Linked DNA regions of Diceros bicornis minor. The protein of the gene in region 1 purifies or fractionates together with the protein of each later gene. This does not show direct contact. Links are inferred from orthologs where the notes say so. Each region holds a gene or a part of one and is shown on either strand. Other genes may lie near its edges.

Region 1 (9,900 bases):
GTAGAGGTCGCTGGGCGCCTTGCGCAGCTCGTACCACTCGGTGACCCCACCTGTGAAGTCCTCAAAGCCCTCTGAGGTGCTGCCCCCCGACAGGGCCTCATAGCTGCCGTTCACCCTGCGGGAGGCCCCAGGTCAGCGCTCTGGCACCAAGCAGGACCCCACACCCAGGGTGGCCTGCAGCTGTCCCTGGGGCCCCTACTCACTTGGCATAGGCCTTCTCCAGCAGGGCGCTCCAGAACTCGTTGCCTTGGGCAGAGTGCACGAACAGCAGCTTCCCGTCCTTGGTGGGCAGCAGGTCATCCACGACCACATCCACCCACTCCCCAAACTGCCACAGCTGTGGGGGGGAATCACAGTGAGTCCCTCCTTTGGGGTCCCCCAAGCCTGGGCTCACATCTCAGCTCTGCCACTTACTAGATACCTGATCCTAGATCATGTATCCCAGACACAGAACCCTGAGCAGGTTATCCTCTCCGAGCCTCAGTTTCCCGACCCATAAAAGGGAACAGCAGCGCCTTCCTCACCGTTAAACTAAAGAAGATCACAAAAGCACAGCTTTTAGGACAGCGCTATCGGTATTTCTGAAACAGACCAAGATGTCTCCCCAGGTATGGGGAACCAGCCCCCTACCTCTCTTCTCCCCATTCTAGGCCAGGGTGAGTGTGTGGAGGGGGTCGGGGTGGGGGGGATACATATGTAAATCAGGTGTGGAACAAAACCTACAAAATGGGCGGGCGGAGTTCCCGCAATCATGGGGTTTGCTTCAGAGATGCTGTGATGGGTCGACTGCCCAGGGTGGGAGGAGTCGGGCGCCTGAAGCCAGAAGCGACCAAGTGCTGCTGGGGGGTGGGGTGGGGCGGGGGGCAGAGATGGTGCAGAACAATGGGCTAAAGGGAGGAGATGGGCCCAAGTAGCGCGGGTTGTGGGGGAGTGTTGAGCGGGCCAATCAGAAACCAGGGAGGAGCGGATTGGAGGAGTGCGGGAAGGGGGCGGGGAAAGGGCGGAGAGGCCACACCCCCGCGGGCCAGCGCGGGCAGGTGGGGCACTTGGCCAAAGGCCGCCCAGTGGTCCTGTGGGTCCTGTAGGCCGTCTCCTCCGCCCTAAGGCGGGTGAGGATGGAGCAGGGTAAACGGCTGCCTGCCTAGGCTGAAGGAGAGGACACCCAGGAGTCCCGGGGGCAGGGCTGGGGCCACCGGGGCCAGAGGGGCTCATCTCAGGTTCCTGGGGGTGTGTCTCTCCCAAAACACCAGCTCACTGAGAATTCATTAGTGTGACTTCAAAAATGGGCGCTGTGCGCAAATAAGGTCAGGAAAAGCTTGTTTAAATAGACTTAATCGCAAGTCTTTCTTTTCTGCAGGGCTCTGTCAGAGGCTGGAGGTTGCCCAAGCACAGGAGGACTTAGGGGTGGGGGGCGAGGGGGAGACTGATGCCAAGGGTGGAGATGCCACATGTGCTGGTCTGTTTTCCCCAGCAGAACACTCCTTCTTTTTCAGATGGGGGAAACAGAACCTGGGGAGGAAAAGGATTTGTCCCACAGGATACAACAGAGATCTTTCTACTCTTCCAAGCACTTTCTCCTGCATCCGCACAACGACCCGGGAAATCTGCCAGCAGAGAAATACCTGCCCAACCATTTCACACATGACAGATCCAAGAGGCAAGGAGAGGTCAAATACCTTATAGGAGGGTGGCCCCCGCAGGGTGTGGCCCTGAGTCACCCTAAGTTCAGACTGCTGTGCCTCATCAGTCCTCACCTCCTCCAGTGCTTGTACCCCTCTGTCCCCCACCCCCTGGCCCCAGGTGGGTGCGGCGCCCCTTACCTGGAAATGGAAGATGCCGGCATAGCCATTCTGGAAGCTTTGGCCGTGAGGAACCACCCGGTGCAGGAGGGTGTCATTGAGGGTGAGGGAGGCGATGGCAGCCAGGAGCCAGCAGTCCCCTGGGATGGGAGGGACCCATGTCAGGCCTGCTCTACGATCTGCCCCCAGTGGTGCACATGAGTGCCCATGCTGGGGAGAAACTGAGGTTCCCTCGACTTACAGAAAAGACCCAGGAATCTGGGCAAACCAGCCCCAGCACTGACAGCCAGAGCCTGTCTGAGCTTGCAGGAGGGAGGGGCTTGGGCAGAGCTGGAAGGAATGGGCATGGGGAGCTACTAAGGAAAAAACATTCAGAATCCCCCAGGGCCTACCCAGGGCTCCCTGGCAGATGTCTGTGCGGGTGGCTCCATCCACGATGAACTGGGGGTTTGAGAACAGCTCCTGCAAGAGACCTAGAGTCCTGTCTCTGGGCTGGCCCCTCCCAGACACTGAAACCCAGCCACCCCAGACCCCACTGCCCACTAAGACCTGGAGTCTCGGACCCAGTCCTCACCCAGGATCAAGGGTAAACTGAGTCCCACCCCGGGTGGCCCCTCTCACCGTGGGACGCTTCCACTTGATGCCATAGGTTTTGGAGGAGTTGGGGCCCAGGTCCTTATAGCCCAAGCTCTGGGGCACTGGGGGGAAAGCCTCATCACGAAAGAGGACCCCCTTCTGCAGGCATTGAGTCTGCAGCTGCTCATAATTCTGGCCCAGGTACTTGATGGCGTTTTCATGGCTGCCCAGGCCCAGCTCCTTGGCCCGAAGCTTCTGCACTTGTGCAGACACCCCAGTGCAGTATACCGGAGTGATGATCTCCTCAGCCATCCTGCAGGGCAGATGCGCCTGCTCAGAACACAGGCCTTCCCAGACTAGAATTGGGGCTCCTGCCTGTCTCTGCCCACACTTCCTCCCCAAACCTGCCCACCTCCCTAGGCTCCCAGAATCCAGGAGAGGAGTTCCCCAGCCCCCAGATGTGCTGGCCACCACCTCCCTACCCCCACACAATGCCACCACCTCTCCTCTCCAACACTCCCATTGTCCTGGGCCTGCAGTCCTGTGGTCAGCCAGCTAGGCAGGTGGAGCAGGGCGGAGCCCCGAGATAATAACACAGGGAACCGGGAAAGTAGAGACCCCAGGGAAGGCGTCTGACCTTGTTTGCCTGCTGCCTGTAACCCCTCCCCAAACTAGCCAAGATCCTACACGCTGGCCCCTTTTCCTGGCTTGGGGACTGAGAACTCCAGGCAGTCAGGATCCCCCTCCCCAAGCCTCGGAGACAGACGAGGTGACCAGGGCCTCAGAGCCTTCCCCTCCGGCCTTCCCCCAGCCCAGCCCCTGGAGACAGTGCTGAGCGCAGGCTGGGGCGGGTGCCTGGGCTGTGCGGCTTCCCGAACCCCCGCCCCTGTCCCTGTCCCAGGCACTCAGAGGGCAGGGGGACGGGGCAGCCCCTCAGCCCCGGACCAGTGGCCGGAGTCGGAGAATCCTGGCCCGGCCACCCAGCTCCTTACCTGGGGGAGGAGTGTCTGGGAGGGTCGCTGCTGTCCCTGCGGCTGGCTTCCTTGGTGGCAGCTCAGGGCAGGGCCCAACCAGGAAGAGCGCTCCTCCCCGCCCTCCTCGGGCCCCTCCGCCCTCCCCCCTCCCTCCCCCCTCCCTCCCCCCTCCCTCCTTCCGTCCTCCTCCTCCTCCTCGGGCTGCTACCCTGCTTCCTCTCGGCTCTCCTTTATCTCTCGGGCACCTTCTCTGGCTCTCTGTCTTACTCTCGGTGTCTCCCCGCCCCTCCCTCCGCAGGCCCGTGGGCAACTCCAGGAGAGGACAAATTAGTAAAAGGCAGAGTCGTCCCCGGGGAGGGGCCAGCGCCTGTCGGGGTGGGAGGCCTGGGGCCGGGACGGAAGGGCACCGCGGGGGAGGGGCAGGGCAGGGCAGGGGTATTTTTAACCAGGGGCAGCAGCTCGAGTTGCAGGGCCGGGCGGCCCCACCCCACGCGGCGCCCCCGGAGGGCATTCCCCGGCGCTCTGTCCGCGGCGGCGCCGCCTCCTGCAGCCCCCGGCCCGTCCCCCGGGCCCTCCTCCGCGGGGCCGCAGCTGTCCCCACCCTCCGCCCCCGCCAGCGCAGCGCCAGCGCGGGGCCGAGATTACCTCGGGCTGCGGCAGCTGCTCGGAGGGCCGGCAGGGCTGGCGGCGAGCGGATCTCTGCCGGTCGCTGGGCGAACGGCAGCCGCACCCGCCGGGGCCTCGCCGCAGCCCTCCTGGCTCCTGGGCAGGGCCGGCTCCCCCTCCCACTCCCGCGCCCTGGGGCGCACGCTCGGGGCGCGCCACTCGGCCTTGGCGGCTCCGTGCGCCGGGCGGGGCGCGGGGATCAGTCCCCCAGGCCGAGGCTGGCCGCGTGACCCTGGCTGAGTCCCTGCCTCTCTCGGCCTCGGTTTGCCGGTTCACGCAGCGAGTAGGATGGAGATGAGCGACTGTGGGAGCCCATCTTTCTCTCGCGCTCTGGGGTCTCTTGAACCGGGAAACTGCGAGAGGTGGCCATCCCTGCCCTCTCCCCAAGGCCTCGGCCCACCCACTGGGAGCACCCTGTGCCGCCTTACCCAGGAGGGGGCGGCAGAGGCTTCGAGCAGGACGGCAGGCCCACCCAGGACCCGGAGATCCTGCCTCCGCGACTGCAAGGAGCTGGAGAGCCAGGAATCGGAGAGGGGGGCTGCGGCGGTCCTCCTGCTCAGGTCTTTTCACCGAGCCTGGGGGCCGCGGCCAGCAGCTGCTGCAGCTCTTACAGGATGTATACACTAGCATTTTGCTGGAAACAGTGCATGGCTCTCCTAGGATTTTAGGGCCCGCGACCCCAAGAAGGTTAAGAGCCACTGATCTGATCTGACGCCATTCTCACTCCCAGTTAATAGATGCGGAAAACAGAGGACTTGCTCAGCTCCCTCACCTGGCGAGTCAGGGCTGGAACCAGCGCGTGAGCCCTTTGCTCCTCACCATTCAGCATTTATGTGTCCAATCTTGACTAACCCTTCTGGCAGGTCTTTGAACAGCAGAGACCCATGAGTAAGGCAGACCAGCCCCTGCTGGCAGAGAGGGGGCTCTCCTGGTCCAATTTTGGGGATTAAGGAAGTTGAGTCCTGTTGGACAAGTAGGAGTTAACTAGGCAATGAGGTGCTGGTGAGGGTGTGCCTAGGAGAAAGAACAGCATGAGCAAAGATCCAGAGGCTGGGGGAATACACCAATGAGGGGAACTGCCAAGTGTTTCTTGTGACTGGATCACAGGGAGCAGGGGCCTGGGGGAGGGAAGATGCTCTGGAGAGGTAGCAAAGACAGATCTATAATAATTAAATGTAATAATTAAAGAAACAGACATAGATCATTGGAAGATAGAAAAATCTAGAAATAGGTCCAAATGCATACAAAAATTTAGTATATAATATAAATAGAGTTTCGAATTTGTTGCAAAAAGATGAGTTTTTCAATAAAAGGCATTAGGAAAATAGGAGGGAATTTTGTATATAATAAATTCCAGATGAACTCAAGAGTTAAATGTAAAAAATGAAACCAAAAATACAGCCAGGAGCTGAGGGAGAAGATTTTTTAGTCATCTCAGTGTGGAAAAGGTCTTTTATACTATGACACAAAACCCAGAAGCCACAAAAAATTTATCTTCTTACATTAAAAAGCCTATCCAGCAAAGTCAAAATGATAAACTGAAGCAAATACTTACAATTTACATCTTGAAGGGCTTTTTATTCCTTCAAACCCTTATATGTCAATCAGAAACCAAAAACGGTAGGGAAACAGGCAAAGACAAGTACAGTTCACAGAAAAGAAGACAAACGGCTCTTAAACATGAAACAATGCTTAAGTTCATCCAAAAGAAAAACAAATTAAAACTTCACCAAGACACTATTTTCTACTTATCAATTTGACAAAGATAAAAATTCTGGTACCTCACTGATAAAAGCACCTTTACATGCACTTCTGGGGGGAGGGGGTGTGGTATGGACATAGCCTCTATAGACAGACATTTGGCAAAAATCATCAAAATGACAATTCTCACTTGGCTTTTGGCTGAGCAATTCTTCTAGGCATTCATTCTACAGATATCTTTCCACATTTGCATAATGATTTCCTTACAAGGTCTTAGTGACACTCTGTGGCACTGTTTGGAATAGCAGAAGTCTAGAAACTTAAATGTCATCAGAAGGAACAAGTTACATTGTGGTACATCCATAAAGAGGAATACTATACAGCTGTCAAAAGGAATGTATGCATAAGGAACCATCTTCAAAATATGTTAAGCACACAACAGGATGCATGGAATTCTTCCATTTCAGTTTTGAAAAAAGGAGATGGGACATATATACATATCTGGTGTGGTCTTTTTTCTGACACCACTTCTCACACCAAATGTGTTTTTTCCCAGATACCAAATACAGGTGATTTTTCTACATCAATTCTCCAACTTTCCAACACCAATTAGGTGCCTAAAATTCAATTCAGTTTTGACACTAATTCCCAGACCCCTAGGTTAATGGCTCAGTCCCACAAGACACCAGCCACAAATGGGACCCCCAGGTGACCCACACTCCTGTCTGGCCAACTACAAATTTGGGGGTGCTCATGACTCCCTCCTCAGGTTTGATAATTTGGTAGAAGGCTCACAGAACTCAGGAAAGTGCTCTATTTACTATTACCAGTTTAGGATAAAGGATGCAATTCAGGATCAGCCATATAGCAGAGATGCATAGGGCAAGGGGGGCGGGGGGGGGCGGAGTGCCCTCTCCGGGGAGCCACCCTCCCAGCATATCTCTGTTCACCAACCCAGAAACGCTCTGAATCTCCAGCCCCGCCCCTTTCCTCTCCCCTCCCCGGAGGTGGTGGGGGAGCTCAAAGTTCTGCACCCACTAGATTGGTTTTACTGGTGACCAGCCCCCACCTTGAAGCCCTGTAGGGGCCCTACCCTGAGTCACCTCATTAGCAGAAACTCAGATGTGGCTGAAAGGGGCTCATCATGAATAACAAAAGACACTCCTATCACTTAGGAGATTCCAAGGGTTTTAAGAGCTCTGTGCCAGAAACCAGGAACAAAGACCAAATATATATATATATTTTATTACACCACATTTGGTTATGTATGTTTAGATTCTTTCTCTGGAAGGACATAAATTGTTACTTTCACTGCTTCCAGGGAGGGGAACCAGGTGGCCAGGAGTCAGGGGTAGGAGGTGACTCAGTTCAAAATGCAAAATGTACATGTGAAGATATTACCTATTTGAAAAACAAATTAAAAATACTTCCTAGCCCTTGTCTTGGCTTCTAATGTCCGCAATCTCCAGGCTTTCTTACCACCTCGCTCCTTGGGAGCCACTCGTTGAGTATGCAGGGGATTCCTCTGCCATCTGACCCTTGTAGCTACTTCTCCAGCCTTCTCCGTCTTCCTTCTACCTCTCCCCAACACACCCTCCCCTCTAGGCAGCAGTTCCCTCTACACCCTGGTTCACTGAGCTCTATTCCAGCAGCACTGTTCTAAACTCTTCTAGGGATTAACTCATTCAAATCTCATAACACCCATTTTAGTATAGACCCATTTCACAGATGCGGCAATGGAGGAGATTAAATTACACACCAAGATCACACAGGAACCTGGAATGTGAACTTAAGCTGTCTGGCACCAGAGACTAAGTCTTAGTCACTAGTCTAGACTGTCTTTCCAAAAATATCCTTCCTCACAACTTCCCCCTTGCCCCCCCATGGGCAAAATTGACATTGTTCAGGCCCAGTTCAAATGCCACCCTCTGGAAAGCCTTCCATGCTCCCTCATTAACAAATTTACTTTTGTGGGGGGTTGTATTATAATAATTACATTATGTTTGATTGCAGCCCAGGGCAAGGACTAAGTCTTATTTCTAAACAGCCCGGGCCCTGCAGGCATTTCTAGACTGACTATAGAGCTGTTTCCATTTGAGCTTTTTAGTCCAATAGGTTAGGTTCCAGGCCCTCTTCTAAGGACTACACACACACCTTGTCCCCTTCAATCCCCTCTACACTGTGTAGATCTCATCATCCATAGGTGATGTCACAGAGGGGAAACTGAGGCTCAGGACGACTGGCCACCAATGGGAAGGGGAAGATCTGTTCCAGAGCCTGTGCTCATGGGTCTCAACAACTGGCACCTCAACCTGGCAGATCCCCCTCTCCCCCCAACTCCCTTCCCACTCCCACCCTGGGTCAAGGAGCCAGGCTGGGGCCTGAGCACAGTTGGTGTCCTGTGGACACGAGTTTATTAGAGGGGACCCCGGTCAGAGTGGGTACAGTTGCAAGTTGGGAGGAGGGGGCAGGGGGCAGGGGCAGCACTGCCAGCCTGAGGTCCATAGACAGGAGGCCACAGGGGCGCAGCCAGTAGAGCGCTGGGTCAGCGGGCAAGCCAGCAGGCTGCTGTTCACCCTGCAAGTGAGTGTCAGCGCCCAGGGCACTGCCGAGGCTTTGGGAAAACTAGGGGGAGAAGGACAGAGAGCAGCTCAGAGAGGAAACTTGTCAAGCTCACCCAGCCAGGAGGTGGCAGAGCTGGGATGGTGCCCAGGCCTGCTGGACCCCAGGCCCCGTGCCCCTCCTTCTCATTCTGTTGGGCCCCATACCCGCCTCCTGGGCTCCCAAGGCCACCCTCAGCTCCTGTCCCCAACTCACGGTGGAGGGTATAGGTGCCTGGCTCCAGCTGCAGCCGGAGCGGCAGGACGATGAGGAAGCCCCCACCCCAGGGGTCTTCAGGCACTGAGACACAGGCTTGGCAGGCAGCACGATGCCACTCGGGGTCTGGGGAAGGGCACTTGGATAAGACAGGCAAGGGGCAGGGGTAGTGGCAGCAGTGGCTGCGGTGAGGGGGCAAGCCACAGAGGGAACAGTGGGGTGGCGAGAGGCCGGGGCCTCGGGGGAGGGGAACCTGGGCCTTTGGACAGCTCCTCTGAGCCCTGCCGTGGTGGGGGCGCCGATCCCGAGTCCAGGCCCAGTGGGACGGCTCCTTGGCCATGACCTGGCATGAGTAGAGTGGATGGTAAATGGGGATGGGAGGTCCAGCCTCTTTCCCCGACCCCAGGATGCCAGCTGGCTGGCTGGTCCTCACCTCCTCACAGCACTGGCGGCTCACGACGGCCCGGAAGCCCATCCGTGCCCACAGCTTGTCCCTCTGGTGCAGAAAGTCTGACATGCGACGACGCCAATCTTTGCCCAGGGCCCATGGAAAAATCACACATTTGGGGTCCTCCAGATCCTCCTCCATGTCATTTGCAAGGTACCTGGCCGCAGAGGCGGGGGCCATAATAAGCATCTGCCATAAGAAGCATCTGCCCTGACCCATCCTACAGCTCCAAGCGTCTCCACCACCCACTGGGGCCACTCACAGAGCTAAGAACAGGTTGCTGTGGGTGTACTCGCAGAGCTTCAGGTTGGCACGCTGGAAGTAGACCAGCACCATAGCCAGGAGGTACTGCAAAGATGGGACACGGAGAGGTTAGGGAGGCCCTGGGTGGGGGGCTGCACCAGCCTGTGTGCACCCAAGGAAGTTCTGGTGGGGGTTAGAAAAACCTCAGTAACATGGTGGGGAGGGGCCTGAAAGACAAGGGTTTAAAAGGGAGGCGCTCCCTCCACCAGCCCAGGGGAGCCAATGAATGAGCAGCACTCAAGCCCCACTAATTCAACCTTCCCCAGTGACCCCCGCCTCTACCCCCACTGTGCCCCCTCACCTTATCCGAAATCTGGAAACAGGGATCTTTGGAGAGGAATTCCTGGAGGAAACTGTGCTCTGGGGGTAGAGAGGAGGAATGGTGGACTGGGGTCACCACCCGCCCCCACAAGACAAGAGTGGCATCAGAAGTTTCAAAGGTCAAGCCTCCACAGAACTCGCTTTCTGACACAACCCCCCCCCCCGCCCCGCCCAAAACCGGGGTCTCCTGAGAAGGGAAGAGACGGAGACTTCAGGCGCTTGCACGGGAGGGTTAAGATTCCACCACTCACATCCGTTTCACATTTGGTCCCCACAGCCCCTCCCGTGCCAGCCC
Region 2 (9,314 bases), on another chromosome or scaffold:
AGAAAGGTAGAGAGAGCTTTGGGAATGGGAAGGGAGGTATATTCCAGGGGAGGGGAAATGAACAAAGGCAGGCACTGGGAAGAGCCGGGAATGTTCTGGGATCTGAAAGCAGGAGGGCATGGCTGGAATACAGTGGCGTGAAGGGGCGAGGCTGAAGACAGGACTGCCTGGTCAGATCCTGCAGGTCCTGGCAGGCCATATTAAGGGTCTAAATTTCATCCTGTTAGCACTGAGGAGCCATCAAGGACTGTAAACACTAAAGAGGGATGATTCATACAGTGCTAGTTAGCTGTTGGCCAGCAGATCACACTGAGAACCAAGCTCTTTTCATGAACCCACACCCCAGAGGACGAAAAGTTGTAAACCAAAAGGAAATTAGCAAGGAAAGCAGAAGACAGCTGAAGGCTCTTACAGCTTCCTTGCAAGCCGGAGGTGTCTCATACCTACCTCCTTGCCTGCTGCCAGACCTATAGAGTAATCTTGTTTTGTTTTAATACCACTAGACAAAAACTAGAAAACAAAAATTTTATTTTCCCTTTATTTCTAACCATTCTTAGGAATCAATTTGTAAAATCATTGTTTTTATATACCTTGAGACTAGTATTAACAGCATGGCTGCTCTGTGAAACAAATTGTTCTTCAGTGACCCCTCTTGAAGGCAAAAGTCATTGTAAAAGGGGGAGAAATTTAATTAAATGGGTAATATTTTCAAACCTAATGTTCCGTTATACAGCAATTTAACAGCATGTTTTCACAATATTTATTCCCTCCTCCATTCTCTTTGCAAAGTTTTCTGGTGTTATATAGCATGGAGAAGTGTAATGGATGTGATCAACTACTTGAATCCCCTTCAGCAATAAAAGAGCCATTGCCCGGCTCCTGGGAGTGGCACCAGCAGGAAGCCCTCATCTCTCAGCCCCATTTGAGGGTTGCCACAGCTTAGGGGAGCAAGCTCCCTCCCCTAAAGCCCTACTCCCTGCCCCCCAACCATATGTAAGGATTGGTCGATGCAGGCTTATAAAGGCTCAGCCCTCTCTTGCCGACCTTGGACGTCTCTAAAGTGCATCCCATCTTCATCCTTCCCTACAGGATTATCTGAGGCTTCTAGTGGATCTGCCTCCCAGCTCAGCTTCTCCCTTTGCCCATCCTTCCTTCCCTTCCACAGGTGCTGATCCCAAGAGCACTCCCTAATAAACTCCTGAAAAGGAGATATGATCTCAGTCCTCTTTGGTCCACACAGACAAGAAGCAAGACATTTCGTGATGCTGAAGAACAAGGCCTCAAGGTATTTTGCAGGTGTTTTACTATCTGGAGCACAGATAGTAAGAGAGACATAAAGGATGAGAAATGAAACCTGAGAGCCTAGCCACAGGTATGTGTGTGACTCAAGTTCTTGTTTGGCAGCAGTGAGAATTTAAAACTATTTCATCTGCTGTTTCTTCTCTTCCTTCTCTTCTTCCTCTGTCCCTCCATCCTTCCATCTCCATTCTTTCTTCCTGCCCCCACCCTATCTGCCATCCATGCACAAGCCCAATGTGATCTGAGAAGCACAGTGTCTTAGTCCATTTGGACTGCCTATAACAAAATAACAGAGACTGGGGAGCTTAGAAACAACAGAATGTATTTCTCATGGTCTGGAGGCTGGAAGTCCGAGATCGGAGTGCCCACATGGTTGGGTGAGGGCCCTCTTCAGAGTCGTGGACTTCTCATTGTATCCTCACATGGTGGAAGGGGCAAGGGAGCTCTCTTGGGCATCTTTTATAAGGGCACCAATCCCATTCATGAGAGCTCCGTCCTCATGACCTAATTCACCTCCCAAAGGCCCCACCTACTAATGCCATCACGTTGGGCATTAGGATTTCAACATATGAATTTGTGGGGGACATAAACATTCAGACCATAGCACATGGCAAGGATCCTATGGTCTAAACATATTCTCCACCTGGCTAGCACATCTTCCTCTCCTTTATGCACAGAAATTCACCTCTGAGGCCATTCTTCTGGATATTGCAACAGTCAGAGGCATGAAGCTCCTACTTAGATACATGCATGTTATAAGGGAAAGGAGGCTCTGAGAGCCTTTCCATATTTTGCTAATTAGTCTTTGCCTTTTTTTTTTCTGGTTTACTCAGGAAAACATTACTATGGAGCAGAGCGAATTTGGCCGAGAGTCTCAAGATGGCAGATAGTACAGGTAAGTTTCAGTGGGATTGAAGGCACTTGGTTGTCAGCCAGAAGGCCCAGGTTTTCGTGGGGGAACTTCCCTTCCAGGGGTATGTGGTGGTGCAGAAAGAAATACCATCCAAAGTGGAGAGTACTGCCCAAACTGTGGGTACCTCAGAAAAACTCTGCCTCCTTCCCAATTTTACCCACTGTCTGCATTACCCAAAAAACCTCTCAGCTTTCAGATCAAATGGACACTCTTCATCCGTTGTCTGACCCACCCTTTGAGTGACATTTGACATTGTGGCCCAGCCGCTCCTTTTAGAAGGCCTTCCTCCCTTGGCCTTTGGCACCCACTTCTCTACCTGCTTCCGCCTTCTCAGGTTCCACTGGCTTCTTCTCTGGACTCCATCTTGTCTTTCTTTTTCTCATTTTACACATTTCCTGATGAGAAGTGATGAGTTTCTGAACAGGGACAGCAGTAGTGAAGATGAAGAGAACATAAAATGTGGAGATCACTCAGAGCAGGTTTCATCTCATTCAAGTCAACATGAGGTTTCAACTCACTCAAGTCAACCCTTAAGTCAACATCAGGGGAGGAAGCAGCCCCTGAGCTCCTTCCTCTCCCAGACTGCCCAGCCCTCGGTCAGAATGAGAAGCCCCTCCTCAGGATCCTACAATGCTCTTGGAATACCTCCGCTGGCCACCATCACAGCGTTGTGGATTTATCTGTCTGTCTTTCCTACTGGACTATGAGGTCCTTGAGTGTAGGAGGTCCCTGGTACCTCCACAGAGCCTGACACATAGCAGGCATCCTGTTACTGAGTAAATAAAGGAAAACACAATATGTGCAAGTAAAAATGTAGCAAAAGTTGCCGTATATATTCAAAACAAGCTTTCCCAAGATGCTCAATGCTGATCCTGGTATCAAAGTTCCACATTCCTCACTGACTACAAGAGAAAGCGAAAACATCAGCCTCTTCTTCAACTTCTTTGACGTTCTTCTTGCTCATAGTCATCAATGTACTGTTTGCCCCATAATGTTCTGCTTATATGAGTTCCAGCTCTTGAGCAAAACCTAAGGCAAAGGTCATTATGTCTTATAGATTTTGATATCAACTATATCATGTAGCACAGTGTAGCTGCTTAGAAAATAAGTTGATAAATGTGTTGATTACTCCTGAACTTGGACCAGCAGCTCTAGTCAGCTGGGTGGGCTCCTTTTTATTTCCTGAACTGCCTTCACCCTTTCTTCTTCTGTCCATATCCCACCAGCCAACCAGCCCGCTGAAGCCTCCTTGCCCTTCCTATAATCACCAAACCCCTCAAAACGCCAAACTCCTGAAGCATATTTGTATTAGTCACACGCTCTATGTCACCCAAATGACCCTGTGTTACAAATGCCACATGAGCTAAGCTGTAAGTCCCTGGAGGGCAGGGAATGTGTATTTTTAATCTTTATATTATTGCTCCCTCTACAGTTCCTTTCACAATGCTTGACATGGAAGCCTTTCAAGAGATATAGAACTAACCGGTTTAAGTTCAATTTTAAATACTCCGTTAGAAAATACCTCAGACTTTAATGGGTACCATTCTTCTTCCAGAGTTAGGATAATGTACTCAGGGATCTAGAACCTGAATCTAGGCTCTCTAGGCTCCCAAGTAAGGAAATGGTTCCAGTTCCTGAGCCCTGAGGTGGGGCTGCCTATCTCCTCACCCCCATTGTTTATGTGTTTGTTTAAATCGCTGGTGACAATCATAAAAGCATTTTTTTCAGGCTTATGACGTATTTTCCCCAATTATGAATGTAATTCATGACACCAATCTATTTTCCTTGAATGGACAATGATAAATCCCCTATCCAAGTTGTTTCATGTTTATCTATCAATTCCTGCACTGCAGCCTGTTGGTTGGAAATACTAGATATAAAGATAATAGAACTCTTTAAGAGGCAATACATTTAAATCATCCCTCCCTGCTCCTCCCATTAAGAATGAAGCTAGCCAGTCCATTTAATAAAGGGAAGTCAGAATCCCTAAAAATGATAGTGTAGGAGGAAGCAAGAGTTCCATTCTGCCAAGCTCAATATATCATGACAAATTTTTTCCTATAACCTGTCCTCCCTCTCTCCAATTGTCTAAATCACAACACTGCAGAGAGCAGCCACCCCTAGGCACGCCACTGTAGGGTAACAGGTTTTTTCTGTCGGGTCTGATCACAAATCTGCAGCAACCACAGGCTGACAGAGTTTGTAAAGGAGCGTTTTCTAGTCAGGCTTGTTATATTTCACTTCCAGCCCCAAACCAGGAAGTGCTGTTTAAGATGAGCCAAAGACAAAAGCAATCCAGCTTCAGAAACAAAACCCGCCAGGCTTCAGACAGGCTATAGGGGTTTAAATTGGGGACTGTTCTTGGATTTGGATTGGAACCTACGGCTTCCTACTTACAAGACATGATTAAACTTTCAAAATTGCTCTCCCAAAATCCAAACTAAAATGACAAAAATACACAGGCACGCACACACACACCCACAGACCAATTTGTTTTTGTGATCCGCTTCCTTATCTAGACGGTCCAGGCTTGAGCCAGATTGGAGTTGGTAAATTCTTCCCCTAGCTAAACTAGGGCAGATTGCAGAAAAGGTGTCTAATCTCGAGGTTCTTCGGGAGAAGTGTCGAGGCGTACACCGGCCACGCCCGGGTCCCGCTCTCCCGTTGCGCAACTGCAAGCTAAGTCTGGGCAAGTCGAAGGAGGAACCCTGAGACCTTCAGCCCCTCCTCTCTGTGACCCACGGGGAACCCAGCAGTCCTGGGTGGCGGGGAGGGTCACTGGGGGAGGACTCGGGACCGAGGGTGTTAAGTTTCAGGCAGGGAGCCCGGGACCGCTGCAGCGGGGGCCCCAGCCCGCGGCGGGCAGGAAGGGGAGGACCCAGCGGGGCGAGGGGGAGCCCCGGCGCGGGCTCGGGGCTGGGTCGGAAAAGCTGCCTCACGGGCGCGCCCGCCGGCCCCTCCGGTCCCTCCCTCTTTCCCTCCCTCCCAGCGCTCCCCGCCCGGGCCTCCCTTCCAGTCTCCGCTGCGCCCTCCCGGAGGCAGCGCTCCCCGCGGCCTCGCCATGTCCCAGCCGGGCCAGAAGCCCGCCGCCTCCCCGCGGCCCCGGCGCGCTGCAGCGGCCCGCCACACCCAGGAGGTGAGTGGCGCTCCCGCAGGAGCCGCAGGGCTGAGCGCTGGGAGGACCCCGGCCCGTGGGCCCCTCCTCTAGGCCTAGCCTGCCTGGCCTGCTGCCCTGGGCGCCCCTCCCCAGGCCGAAGAAGGGCCCGGGGCTCAGTGCCTGCGGCCGGGCAGGTGGCTGGAGGTGGCCGGGATTCCCGGGCCAGGGCCAAGCGTGCTGGGCGTGGCGCGAGCTGCATAGGGGGTGGCCCGCGTCGAGAAAAGTTGTTTGGTGAGACGTGAGTGAAACGAGGATGGAGATGAAAGGGGAATAAAGTTCTTCGGGACCCCCAGAGCGGGTAGGGTAGTTTAACTGGACGGCGGGACCCTGCCTTCCGTATACGATCCGGGCTCCAGGGCGTGGCTGCCTGCAGAAATAACACATCTTCCCTAACCAGCCCCGAGCCAAATGGGGCGGGGCGGGGCCAGCCGGCGGGGGCGGGGCCTTCGTCGGGCCCCGCCCAGGCGCCCGCCCACCTGACAGCTGCGGGGCTTGAAGAGCTCAGCGCCGTCCAGGTCCAGACACGCGGAGTGCAAGCCTGGGGCCCCCTGCACAGCGCCCCGCGTCCGTGCTGGGTCCTCTGCCGTGCGACTCAGAGCCAAACCGGTTGTCGCCATGGCATTCGCAAGCTGGTGGTACAAGACGGTAAATAGGAGCGATCGTGCCTGGGCAGGACTGGGAAGGGAATGTGTTTGCCTTTCTGGGAGTGTGGACGAGTTATTGTCCGGGGTTTGGCGGGGTAAGGGTGGGGACCGGGTACGACCTCCTCTCAGACCTTCAGGTGAGCCTCCGGGAGAGGCCGAGACTCACCCAGTCGTGGTATGTGGGAGCGCGCCCGGACGTGCGAGTCGGTGTGAGCAGACGCACCAGGCTCCGGCTCTCACTCTTCAGTTGAATGGAACAGGAATTGTTGCTGGAGGAATTCCGCCCCTGGTCGCGGATTCCTGAATGAACTAGGGCTGAGCTCACAAGAGCTCAGATCTCGTGTTTTTACTTTTTTTAACCCATAAGTAAAGCTCCAAACTTTTAGAGGAACGTTGTTGGACGTGCATTCTCCAACGCAGAGGAGGCAGCCTGGATGGGAGGCAAGGAGAAAACCCAAAACTCCAAGGAGCAGAAGCCAGTGAGATCAAGACCCCAGTTGAGAATGAGAGAGAAAGAGAGAGACAGAGCGAGCGAGCGAGCTGCTCTGTACTTTTGGATAAGGGGTACAGGTGTTCCATTTGTTTACTGCATTGAATGCCTGCCCAACCACTTAGGTGTGATATCCAGTCGAGCTGGCACTGGTAATGTTTTGGAGTCAGTAAGCATGATTTAATGTTAGATTGCTTCCCCCCAAAAAAATACACAAAAGTTTTATTGACAGAGTCAAAATATTTTGTCCCACTGATTTATGTTGAGAATTTAAAAAAATTGGTTAAGTACACCTCTCTCTTTCTCAGAATGTGTTATTGGAAAAAGCAAGGATGTTGTTATCAGACACTTTGGAGAGAAACCTTGTGTTGGAATCAGAAAGCTGTCACTTACCAGTCAATGGCGGTTCACTGAGCATCTGCTATGGGCCAGGCCCAGTACTAGCCCCCAAGTACACGGTGGAGAACAAGTCAGAGTCCTTGTTCTCAAACGGCAGTGAGTCCACCTTTTTGAACCTGTTTCCACATCTATAAAATGGGGGTGATAATAGGCACCACGTAAGAGTTGGTAAGGACTAATTAGATTCATGAATCAAAGTACCATACCCACATACCTTTTGTGATTGGGAATTCCAGCTTCCCTTGAGATATTTCCTCACGAATATTTCCCATTACATTTTCTGGACTTTTAAAATGTAGCTTCTTATTGATATGCTAAAAGCAAAAGTTTGCTTTGAGTCATTATTGTTCTAAGGTTCATATCAAAATGTACCACATGAATGATCTGCAAATATAAATGGCAGTAGTTCAGAGTTGACATCAGACTTCTCCTTCCAAATTCATGGTTCTCTAAAGAAAATTATGCTGGAATATTTGGATGAAAGTAGTTTGTCTGTACTTTTAACCCTGTTATGTTTAGGTGTAGTCTCACATTTTTACTAATACCTCTCATAGAATCCAGTTTTGGCACTATTATAAAAATCGTTTGCTAGTAGGAACCTCCTGGAATCAGCAATATGCCTGTAATCAAGCTTTGACTTTTCCCAAACCAATGCTGTCCGACAGAAATACAGTGTGAGCCACACATGTAATTTTAAATTTTCTGGTAGCTACATTAACAAAAGCAAAAAGAAACAGGTGAAATTAATGCTAATAATATATTTTATTTAACCCACTATATTCCAAACATTATTATTTTAAAATGTAATCAATGTTCAAATCATTGAGATATTTTACATCTTCTTTTTCATATTAATTCTTAGAAATCAGTGTATATTTTGTGCTTACAGGACAACTCAATTCACATTTGCCACATTTCAAGTGCGGTCGATAAGCACAGCTACAGGACTGGACAGGACAGCTCTAGACATGGGTTCCTCTCCATTTTTGATTGGTGGTTGTCGGAGGTGATCACAGACCATTTTGAGAATTAAATGAAAGTTATGGACCATTTTCCCACTACAAAATATGCACATTCATGCACAAAAGCCCACCCATAAATCTGTGGAGCCAATTTATAACATACATACATATGTTATATAACATATGTATGTATGTATTATATATTATATATATACATGCTTCTGGTAAATCCTGTAACTAAAATATCTTATGTGGGATCCTTTAAATACTAAAAAAGATTTTAATAACCTAACTTTAAAATTTTAGGCACAATAAAATAAAATAATTAAAAGATGTATCTAAGGTGTGTTTGTTTAAGGGAGGGCCACCTATACAGCTAGTCTGTGAAACATTGCAATGTACATTTCCACATTGAATACCATCAATATCTTTGATGTTATCTTCTGTAGAATTATGTGGTCATAGTAAAAAAAAAAAACAACTTTGGAAAGCTAAATTTGAAGAACATCTGATGAGCATCATAATGATGAAGCATGAAGGAGAGGAAATTTGGTTTACACCAGTAATCACATTCCTGAGTCATAAGTTGACTTGATTAGACTGTGTTAATTAAAGGTGTTTCTTAGCCTAATTAGACCCATGGGTCCAGTGGCAGAATGATCAAGGAGCCCAGTCATTTGGGAGGCCCCATGGTTGCAGCCAGCCTGAGAATGTCACAAGCCTTCCATGGCAGGACAGACCATTTGTCTTCAATGACTTGTAGGAGTAAGGAATGCAAATTTATAGGGTCTGCAAAGAGGATTTAGGGTGTTGGGAGAATGGAGGTCAGACACAACTTTCCTCTTTTGGTTGGCAGTTTCTGAATTGGTTTGCTTCCCGTTGCAGGTAAGACTTTTAAACTAGGAGTAACATCTGATGATACTGTTCTTTAATCAGTTTTGACACTTCCCAGAAAGTTAAATATATTCTACAAGTGCTTTTTAAAGAATGATGTAGCTTGCTGGGAATGGAAACAGTGGGTGGTCATTTGAGATTCCAAGGTCAATGGGGGGGTAATTAGTTCTAAGTAGGTTGTCTCAGTGGAATACAAGACTTCTCTAAGAAGCCCATCTTTATTCTATTTTTTCCTAGAGGTTTTTTTTAATGATTATTATTGTGGTAAAATATACATAAAATTTACCCTCTTAACCGTTTTTTAAGCGTAAATTTCAGTGGAATTAAGTACATTCGTATTCTTATGCAACCGTCACCACCATCTATCTCCAGAAGTCTTTTTGTCTTGCAAAACTAAAACTCTGTACACGTGAAACAATAAATCCCATCCAGTTTACATACATACATTCTAATACATAGCATTGTATGCAAGCATTTGTGTTCCTTACCATTTTGTTTTTTTGTAAGGAAGATCAGCCCTGAGCTAACATCCATGCCAATCCTCCTGTTTTGCTGA
Region 3 (9,499 bases), on another chromosome or scaffold:
ATGGGCCAGGACTTATCAAGTTACCTAGGACACGCCAGACAGTGCTAAGCGTCTCAGGAACACTTCTCCCTAAATCCTCAAGACACCAGCCCCACCACTATTATTCCTCAGTGACAGAGAAAGAAACAGATTCGGAGCTGAAAACTCTACCTGAGTAAGATCATAGTAACAGCTAATGCATACAGACCACTTACTATGTGCTCCTAGGCACTGTGCTAAAACTTTTGCATGTAGCTCCAATTCAGTATCACCATCATCATCCACCCCATTTTACAGATAGGCAAACTGAGGGACAGAGAGGCTCAGCAACCTTGTTAAGGGGCAGAGCCAGAATTGTTTAACCCTATGCAACACACGCGTGTGATCACATGACATGTGCATACGCATGTGTCTGCACTGCCCTGTGGGCTGAGTGTGCGAGTACCCAAGATCAGCTACTGACTGGTCCCTGTGCACATGGCTTCATGTCTTTTATGTATGTGGGTGTGCCCTTGGATACATGTGTATGTGTGCACGTGGGCATACCTGTGGCAGTTATAAGCCTGGGTTCTCAAGACTTGTGTCCAAATTCCTATCCTGCCACTATTCTTTATTTATAACTTCAGACAGATGTTAGCCTCTCTCTGAGTCGTTTCTTCAACTTTAAGGGAGTGTAATAATTGTGCCATCTAACAGGGTGGCTGTGAATTACAGTAAGTGAGGTGCCAGCTATGACAGCTGATGTTACTATTCACAGCCACATGTCCATGAGTGGGCGTGTGTTCTGATGTATGCATGTCCACCTCTGCAAGTATGAAAGCTACACCCTGGCTGCCCCAATCATGCTCTCAGAAAATTCCCTCTTCACCCAGGCCCCCCCCCCACCGACTGCCCCCAAGGATACATCCATTACGGCCACCATGCTGCGACATGTGTCAATGCCAAAACCATCAGTCTTCAGATCAGGGTCTGTGAGGGACAGGTTGAAGGTCAGAGGCAAGAGATCATGGCTACCCCAGCCACCATGCCTCTAAACCTTCCCTTGACCCCAGTCACTCACGTCGGGTCACGACCTTGTTGAGAATGTTCATGAGTTCTGTGGGGCTGACCTCCATGTCCTGTGGGAGAAGTTAGGGGTGGGTCTGAGCATGTCAGGAAGGAGGATGGGAACTTTGGGACTGCCACGATGGAGTGTGTGTGTCCAAGGGCGGCCCAAGGGAAAGCACGGAAGGGTTAGGACAGGTCTGGGGGCCCCGCGTTACTTACATCTCCAGCCAGCTGGGCAAAGAGCCTCCGGAACTGCCGGACCTCCTCGCTCTCATTGGCCTCGATGTTGGAGAAATGGGTGCGTGGGGGCTGCAGACAGAGGGAGGAGATCTCATAGCAGGGAGGGGGAGGGGGCCCTGGCCAGGACAGCCCTAGGTGTGGCAAAGTCAGAGTGGGGGGGGGGGGGCTGAGTGATCAAAGGAAGGAGAGGTGGTCAGTGACAGGGAGTGGGTCTAGCTAAGTTGAAGACATGAGAAGGGAGAGACTTAATGGGAGGAAAAGAGGGAGAGGAGGTGGGGTCTGTCCAAAGGGACAAGGATGGTGCTGGAAAAGGTCTCAGAGTGAGAAGAGGGGTCTCCCGTTGCGAGGGGTGGCTTACCGGGGGCTCTGGGTTGTACTGCGCAGCCGCCTCGCTGCAGGGAAACGGGGGAGTTAGCGCCAGGGGGCGGGGCCTCCAGCGGGCAGTGACAGCCCCCACGCCCAACCCCCCAATCCCCAGCTCGCCACCCTGCCTACCTGCTCCCTCCGCCTGCCTCATCTGTCCTTGCCCTCACCTGTCCCTATCCTTGCTGCCCTGGTTGCGCAGCGAGGAAACCCACAGGCCCGCCCCCATGCTGGCTGCTCTCCTCCCAGGGCACACCTACCCAACGGCAGACTCCTCAACAGACCCAGCCCTTGAAGGCCCCAGCTCCCTGGGTCCCACCTGTCTAGGAACCTGCTCCATCGCCATGGCTTCCTGAACGGAAAGCCTGTGTCTTCCAACATCCCACCCCAGCTCCACGGGTTCTCGCCCCTTGAGGGATCACTGCTCAGTGGCCAAGGCTAACGAGGCCCCTATCGACAACCTCTCCTCCCTCCACCAGGGCATCTTTCTATCCAGCCAGTGCCCGGCCAGGCCCAGCCCAAGGCCACTTCCCCTATCCCATTAGGCTTCGGCCTCTTCTGGGTCCACCTCCTCATTGATCCACCTAGTGCGGCCAGGCCGAGCCCACAAAACAAGCCTCGCCCCCGGGAAGGGATACCCAGTCTCGTTGGCTCCGCCCCCTTAACGTTCGTCTCCAAGTTACTGAAAGCAGGCGGCGCCCAGCCCATGAAGCCCCACCTCCCGGGTCCCATCTGATGGCGTCCCCTCAACGGTCAGACAGCGCCCAGGTCAAGCCCCGCCCCCTGAACTGCCATCGGCCTCATTACGGTCTGCCCCTCAAGGCCAGTCTCCCAGCCCAGCCCCGGCCCAGCCTAATGAAGGTTCCAGGTCAGTCGCCAGGTTACCCCACTCTATTCGTGCTGGCCATGCCTCCTCCGCCAGGCCCCGCCCCTCCCCAGGCCCCGCCTTACCTGATGGCGCTAATGACCCCGCCCAGGATGCGCATGGCAGTTCCGCCACCGCCGCCGCCGCCGCCGCCGCCGCCGCCGCCGCCGCCGCCGCTGATCAGGCCTCCGAGCACATTCCCCAGGCCCCCGCCCAGGCCCCCGCCTCCCCCGCCGCCGCCGCCGCCCTTCAGGAACGAGTTAACCAGGAACATGGCTGCGACTCAGGATCCCTGAGGGGGAAAAAAGGGTCAGGTGGCCGCCTCGCCCCTGAGCCCGCCCCCTCCCCACAAAAATACCCATTTCTGGCAGCTGGACGTGGGGGAATAATATGAGGCCTCCGGGTGGGGACCTATCCTCGGGCCGGGGCTTGAGGGTCCATTCGGGGTGGGGTCTGGGCTTCAGCGGGAGGGCAGTTGTCGGGTGGGTAGGAGACGGACGGAGGATCAGATTTGAAACCCACTCCGGTCCAAAAGGTCCCCGTCTGGTTTGGGGGGCCCTGGACTGAGTTTACGCATAGGCATCATTAAGCACCCGAACCGTCCAGTCTGGGGGTGTTCTCAAGATGGGGGCCCCAGGTTGGTGTTAGGCATCCTTGACTTGTTTGGGCGCTCGAATCTGAAATCCAGAGCCCCAGAACTGGACTTTAGGGGTCTTGGGCGGATCAGGGGCGCGGATCAGAGACTCTCCACCTGGAGGCCCCCGGGGCAGGGTTTAGGAAACCCAGAATGTGGCTTGGGGGCTTAGGTTCTCCCAGCAGCAGGATTACAGTGTCACCGCCGGGTCCGTGGGGTCATGTCTAAGATTGTGGGTGTGAGCCCCGGGGCCCGGGATAACGGAGTCACCATTACAACTGGGAGCACGGATCTCGGACCGTGGTTCTGGAGGCCTACCCAGGGCAGATTTTACGAGCAGATTTACCTCTCAAATCCATGGCTCGTATTTTAGATCCGGAGACGGAAAGTGGAGGAATCCCTGGGGCGGGATAACTGGGGCCGGACAGGTCTGGGGGTTCGCATCTGAGATCATGGGTCTGGGGGACCCCTGAGACCGGGACTTTAGGGTCTCCTCGGGGCTGGGGGCCGCCAGGGCTGGGATTACGGAGTACAGAGGGATTCCGCACCGGGCGCTCACCGCCTCGCTCACAGGTCCGCCGGTCCGCTCGCCTGCGCTGCTCCCGGGCCTCCGGCTGCGCCCGACTCGGTAGGGCGGGACCCGTGACTCAGGCCGCGGGCACCGGATCCGGCACTGCTGGGGGCCCAGCGGGTATCCGCGCGGTCCTAGAGCCGGCGCTGGAACTGCGCCTGCGCACGGCGGCCCCGCCTTCGTAACGGGATGCGGCCGCCGCGGCTCCGCCCTACACGTTTCCACCGTCCCGGGTTCCAACCCCGCCTTGACTTAATAGGTCTGAGGTGCCTACGACTCTCCCGGCCAGGTGAGGGCGCCCGGGGACGAGAGAGCCGAGGTGATCCCCTGGGGTTGTAGTGTGATTTTTCGCCCCGAAGCCAGCCTCCACCCGGCCACCGATGCGGTTTTCAGTCGGCTTGAAAAGGGACTGAGGACTCTTGGCACTCAGGCCCTATCCTAGCCTTGTGGCGACAAACAGCGTCTGGAGGCCCGGGGATCAGCGCCCGCGTCTGCGGTAGGGAGTCAGGCTAGACTAGATTCCCCGGACCCTGCGGCAGCCTGGGTGGCGGTCCAGCCGAGGGCGGGACTTCGCCGCCCACGAAACCACCTGTGCCTCCTCCACCCGCACTCGCCTGGACCCCGAGTCAGGGTCACCAGGATCGTTTTGCCCGGACCGGCCCAAGTGTCGCCTCAGTCTTCCAGTCTCTAAAGAGGTGCCCGGACACAGGAAGAGTCCGCTGGCCACGGCCTGATTTCTGAGGCTGGATGTCCCTGAGGTCAGGTTGGGGGGGCGGGGAGGAGGGCGACTGAAGTAGCCTTTGGAGGCCTTTCGCTTGCTCTCGGCTTCCAGCCTCCAACCCGTGCGCACCCGCTACTTTTTCAGGGCTCCTCAGAGGGAACTAAGTCTGTCTCCCAGGCTCTTGCCTCGAGGCTGGCTGAACTTGAGTTTGGATCCTGGGCTCTGCCCCTTAATAACTGTGGGATCCCAAACAGTGACTCGAGCAACGATTTTCTAATCTGTAAAATGGGAACAAGGGTCCCATGCTCCCCACCCCGCTGCCCCTACCATATTTAAGTCATAAACGCTTAGTAAATAATAGCTATTATCCTCTGTGTCTGTACTCATGCTATTCCCTCCTCCTGGAGCCCACCTGGATTCCTCAGGGGGTTGACTCTTGCTCATCCTTAGATAATACTGATAAAAATAACTGCCAAGCATGCTCCTAAGACTTTACACATATCAGCCCATATGTCCTCATAACAGTCCTAGGGGATGGATGCTATATATTATCTCCATTTTACAAATAAATAAACTGACTCTGAGGTTAAATTCCCTAGCCTGTACCCTTACCCACTACCCTAATGCATTGACTCCTCAATGATAGAAATATTTTAATATGATAATAGCTCAAACAAGAAGATCACAACAGACAAAATTGCAGCTGTGCTTCTTGAGGGCTTGGGGCCAGGCCATGGAACTGCTACACAAACCTTGTCTATGAGGCAGGAACTAACAAGAGAAAATGGAGGCTCTGAAGGCAGGGTAACTTGCCTGAGGTCACAGAGGGTGGCAGGACCAGGTATGAAACTGGGCTTGGCTGATGCCAATACTTGTGGTGATGACTAATCTGGATTCCCTTCTCCCCACACCCCTCCCTGCCAGACTGAGCAGCCTCTGTTCTCTGCCCTCTCTGGGGCTCACTGCCTGCCAGGCCTTTGCATGGGCTGTGCCCTCTACCTGGAACATTCCTTCTGCCTTTTTCACCTGGTTTTGTAGCTACTAAGGCTTTGGGTGTCAGCTCAGGAGTCACCTCCTTAGGAAGCCCTCCCTGTCGCCTCCTGAGACTAGAAGAGGCTTGCGGGTACCTGTTTGTGACCTGTATTTTCTCAGAGCACTCATTGCCAGTTGAATCATATTGTCATCTAGGTCTGTCTTCCTGACTCTTAATCCCGGCCAGCTCCAAGTCGTAGGCCTTGGTCCTTCTCTCTGTCCCACTCATGCCATAGGGATCTCCCCCACATACATGGCTTAAATTCCATCTCTAGGCTATCAACACCCAAATTTCTATCTTCAGCCCAGAAATTTCCATCTCCAGGCTCCTACATTCTGCATCTTACTCTCCATCTCCATAAGGGTCTTAGCGGTGTCTCAAGCTTCACACATCCTAAACTGAGCTCCTGACCTTCCTCCCAAACTTGCTCCCTCTCCACCTTCCCTGTCTAGGTTAATGGCACCTTGGTCCTTCCAGTGACTGAGACCAAACACCCCAGAGTCGTCCTTGACTTCTCTTTCACACCCATTCCAACCTGTCAGCACACCTTGTTGACTCTACCTACAAAAACTAAGCTCTTCTCCCCAGCCACTGCCCCCAACCTGGCCCTGCCTCCGTCCTCTCCGGCCTGGACCATTATTGCAGCTCCCGTGCCTGCCCTCACCGTCCTTTCCCCAAATGCAGCCAGAGGGAGCCTGTGAACACCTGAGTCAGGTCGGGACCCTCCTGGTTGAGCCCTCCCTGGCTGCACCTCACCACTATAAGACTCGAAGTCTCACCACGGCCACTAAGTCCCTAGTGACCTGTCCTGGCACCTCTCTGCCCTCATCTCCTCCCTCGTAAGAAAGGAGAAGAAGCTGTACTGGCAGCTTGACCTGGATATTCCAGCTGAACACAGACCAGACGCAGACGAGAAGGCTCTGCCAGCACAGCCATATCCAACAGCCCTCTCCTGCGGCACACGGGAGGCCGCCACTCCAGCCCCAAGGCCCTTCCGAGCCCTGCCTTTGTGCCTCAAGTCTCCACATCTCATCATCTCAGGAAGGTCCTCTCAGATCTCCGTCCCACCCCACACTCCCCGTCCCACCCCCACGCTGCTCTTACTGTCACCCACTAGTTGTCCCAAGGAACTCAAGGGAGGTTTCAGAAGCATTTAACTGTTTCTCCAAATTGTTTTTTCTCTTTTGTTATGTTAAGACAATCACCAACCGCCCTGAACCAGTCCAAACCCCACCACAAGAGACACCTGCATAGATGGGCGAGAAGTGCCCAAGAGAAGACCTTTGCCTCATTTTAATGCTAAGATCTCCACCCCAGGAGGAGCTAAGGCCTCACTACCATAACATGTGATGTACGTGGAAGCGTGTTTTCCAACTGAGACTTCGCAAGCGAATGCCGACCTCTCCCTTTTGAGTATTCATTCCGCATCCGACATAAAAGTCTCCTGCTTCCCTGTGCTCAGGGAGCCACAGCTTTGGAAACGATTCCCTGTGGTCTCTATTTGCGGCAAACAAATTTTACTTTGTGTGACAACTACTTCTGGTGAAGGCTCTGATTTCAACTCACCGAGAAGCAGACCCACTTTGGTGTGGTAACATTACCATTATCACCTGTTGACATACTGCAGAGTTTGCTTATTTCTTCAGTTTCTTGTCTGTCCCCCCACTAGAATGTGAGCTCCTTGATGGCAAGGATTTCTGTCTCTCTTTTTCACTGCTACGTACCCAGTTCCTAAACCAGTGCCTGTCACATCTGAGGTACTCAATATTTGTTGAATGCAATGTTTTGTGTGGGTTTTCCCATTGAATTTTCAGCACCATCAATAAGATAGTACAGCAAACATTACTAAAGTCTTCTACCATCTTCCAGGCTCCTTGAACTCAGGCATGGTTATGTGACTTGCTTTGGCCAATAAAATGTGAATGGAAGTGTTGGGTGTGTCACTTCCCAGTAGTAGCATTTAAAAGCCAGTGCAGGATGCTCCATGCTTTCATCTGCTGCCCAGGCAGCCTTGGGTGCTATGCAAGCACAGAGGTGCCACACAAAGGAAGCTGGCTGGATTGCTGAGCCATGGCGTGGAGGACATCTGCCTATTTCTATGAGCAAGAAATAAATTTTGAGATGTTCGTCCACTAAAGTCTAGGGCTCATTTGTTACCTCAGCATAACCTAACGTATTCTGACTGATGCAGGTAGAAGTTGTTATCAGGCCCTTGAGGTAACCAGAGAGATGGGATTACTTCTCTAAGATTGCACAGCTTGTAAGTGAAGGGGAGGAAGACCATCCTCTACCCACTCTGGATCCTTTCTGGCTGGGCTATGAATTAAATTTACATGAGACAGATTAACAGGAGAAAATTAAACAAAGCCTTATAACATGTATACATGGGAGAGACCCAGGAATAACTGGGTAACTCGACAAAATGGCAGAGGTTCTCATCTTAAACACCATCTTCAGCTAGAGACTAAGGAGGATGTTGGGGGTGGGGGAGTCAGCTATGGGAGATTACCAGAAAAGCACAGTAAACAAGAGTAAGGTTAATATGCAGATTTAAGTCCTTGCCTTCCTCACTGATAAGAGTTTCTAGAGATAAGGTCATCCCCCCTTCTTCCCCGTACAGAGAGAAAGACACATTTACAAATGGAGATTTCCCTTATAAATGTAAATGTCTCTTACAAAGGGTCACTTCTACTTTTACTTGGTTTTCAGAGCTTTGATAAGAATGGGCTTAGCAAGGACCCTCCCAGTCTATCCATACCCAGAGTTATCTATGGTGATGGCATGTCCTGGGAACAGGCCTTCTATCTTAAATTCTTTTAGGCAGTTAGTTGCTGGTGGAGGTCAAAGTTTCTTTCTGAGTCTTCTGAGCCTTTATTGTCTTCAGCTCGAAATAATCCACATCCAGAGTAGCACATCTTGGGGCGGCCTGCCCTGAACCCCATCATAAGTGTCAGAGTCAAGATTCAAACCAGGAAGGCTAGCTTTGTAGCTCACGCTTTTAATCCTCACAATTTGTTGCTTCAATGATGTTAATTTCACAATGCCACCAATTAATAAACTTGCAATAGTCATAACTACCCTAGCTAATGCCGCCCCAGGGCTTGATGGGACCAGGCTGGGGTGACTGCATTACAGGCATGTCCTGCAAGGCCTCTCACAACCCTCTGGAAAGGAACTAATGTGAGAGGAAGTGGAGGTTCAGAGAGCGGGAGTCATTTGCCTGAGGGGATGGCAGAGCCAGGTGTAAACCCAAGTAGTTACATGATGACTAATTCGGATTACTGTCCCTCCACTGCCCTGCCTTCAACAGTGTATTAGTCAGGGTTCTCCAGAGAAGCAGAGTCAATAGAAAGAAAGAAGGAGAGAGAAAGAGATTTATTATAAGGAAGTGGCTCACACCATTATGGAGGCAGAGAAGTCACACGACCTGCTGGCTGCAAGCTGGAGGGCCGGGAAAGCCAATGGTTTAAGTTCTGGTCCAAGTCTGAAGGCCCGAGAACCAGGGGAGCCAATGGTGTAAGTCCCAGTCTGTGTGCAGGAGAAGCCTGATGTTCCAGCTCAGCGGTCAGGCAGGGTGTGAATTATTCCTTCCCCTGTCTTTTTGCTCTATTCAGGCCCTCAAAGGATTGGATGATTCTCCCACGTTGGGGAGGGCAACCTGCTTTACTCAGTCTACCGATTCAAATGCTAATCCCATCTGGGAACACCCTCACAGACACACCCAGAAAGAATGTTTAGCCAAACAAGCGTCTGGGCACCTTGTATCTCAGTCAAATTGACACATGAAATTAACCATCACTCTTCCTGGTCCTCTCCCCGGGCTCCCTGGCTGCCAGGATCTTGCACAGGCTGTGCCTCTGCAGTACCACCCCTCCTACCCTTCTTCCTTTGTAGTCACCTCACCAAAGAAACCTTTCTTGACCTCCCCCATCACAGACTAGAGCAGGTTGCCCTGTTATATGCTCCCAGGACTCCCAGAACTTCTTCCCCAAGACACTCATAACAAATAACGATCTGTAGCGTTGGATAACGTCTGTCTCCTGGAC

Evidence for each region.
Region 2: the proteins of CAPN1 (region 1) and CAST purify together in Homo sapiens (co-immunoprecipitation; 4 studies listed by BioGRID and IntAct, counting the BioPlex papers as one, with this or other methods). This does not show direct contact. The link is inferred for Diceros bicornis minor from reciprocal best matches to the Homo sapiens genes CAPN1 and CAST.
Region 3: the proteins of CAPN1 (region 1) and CAPNS1 purify together in Homo sapiens (co-immunoprecipitation; 4 studies listed by BioGRID and IntAct, counting the BioPlex papers as one, with this or other methods). This does not show direct contact. The link is inferred for Diceros bicornis minor from reciprocal best matches to the Homo sapiens genes CAPN1 and CAPNS1.

Annotation. Positions count from the first base shown.
Region 1 is NC_080770.1:7,973,612-7,983,511, forward strand, and holds the start of CAPN1 (calpain-1 catalytic subunit), read right to left. Parts: upstream 4,675-9,900; 5' UTR 4,444-4,674; intron 3,470-4,443; exon of another isoform or gene 3,368-3,469; intron 2,689-3,367; 5' UTR 2,688-2,688; coding exon 2,421-2,687; intron 2,262-2,420; coding exon 2,192-2,261; intron 1,940-2,191; coding exon 1,821-1,939; intron 338-1,820; coding exon 204-337; intron 116-203; coding exon 1-115. Other genes in the region: SPDYC (speedy protein C), read right to left, coding at 8,307-8,876, 8,967-9,138, 9,244-9,329, 9,586-9,644. UniProt on the Homo sapiens protein: Calcium-regulated non-lysosomal thiol-protease which catalyzes limited proteolysis of substrates involved in cytoskeletal remodeling and signal transduction. Proteolytically cleaves CTBP1 at 'Asn-375', 'Gly-387' and 'His-409'.
Region 2 is NC_080740.1:22,275,352-22,284,665, forward strand, and holds the start of CAST (calpastatin), read left to right. Parts: upstream 1-5,172; 5' UTR 5,173-5,273; coding exon 5,274-5,348; intron 5,349-5,893; exon of another isoform or gene 5,894-5,984; coding exon of another isoform or gene 5,985-6,014; intron 6,015-9,314.
Region 3 is NC_080773.1:8,518,466-8,527,964, forward strand, and holds the start of CAPNS1 (calpain small subunit 1), read right to left. Parts: upstream 3,793-9,499; 5' UTR 3,688-3,792; exon of another isoform or gene 3,677-3,687; intron 3,646-3,676; exon of another isoform or gene 3,475-3,645; intron 2,787-3,474; 5' UTR 2,769-2,786; coding exon 2,581-2,768; intron 1,659-2,580; coding exon 1,625-1,658; intron 1,336-1,624; coding exon 1,246-1,335; intron 1,098-1,245; coding exon 1,040-1,097; intron 949-1,039; coding exon 884-948; intron 1-883. UniProt on the Homo sapiens protein: Regulatory subunit of the calcium-regulated non-lysosomal thiol-protease which catalyzes limited proteolysis of substrates involved in cytoskeletal remodeling and signal transduction. Essential for embryonic development.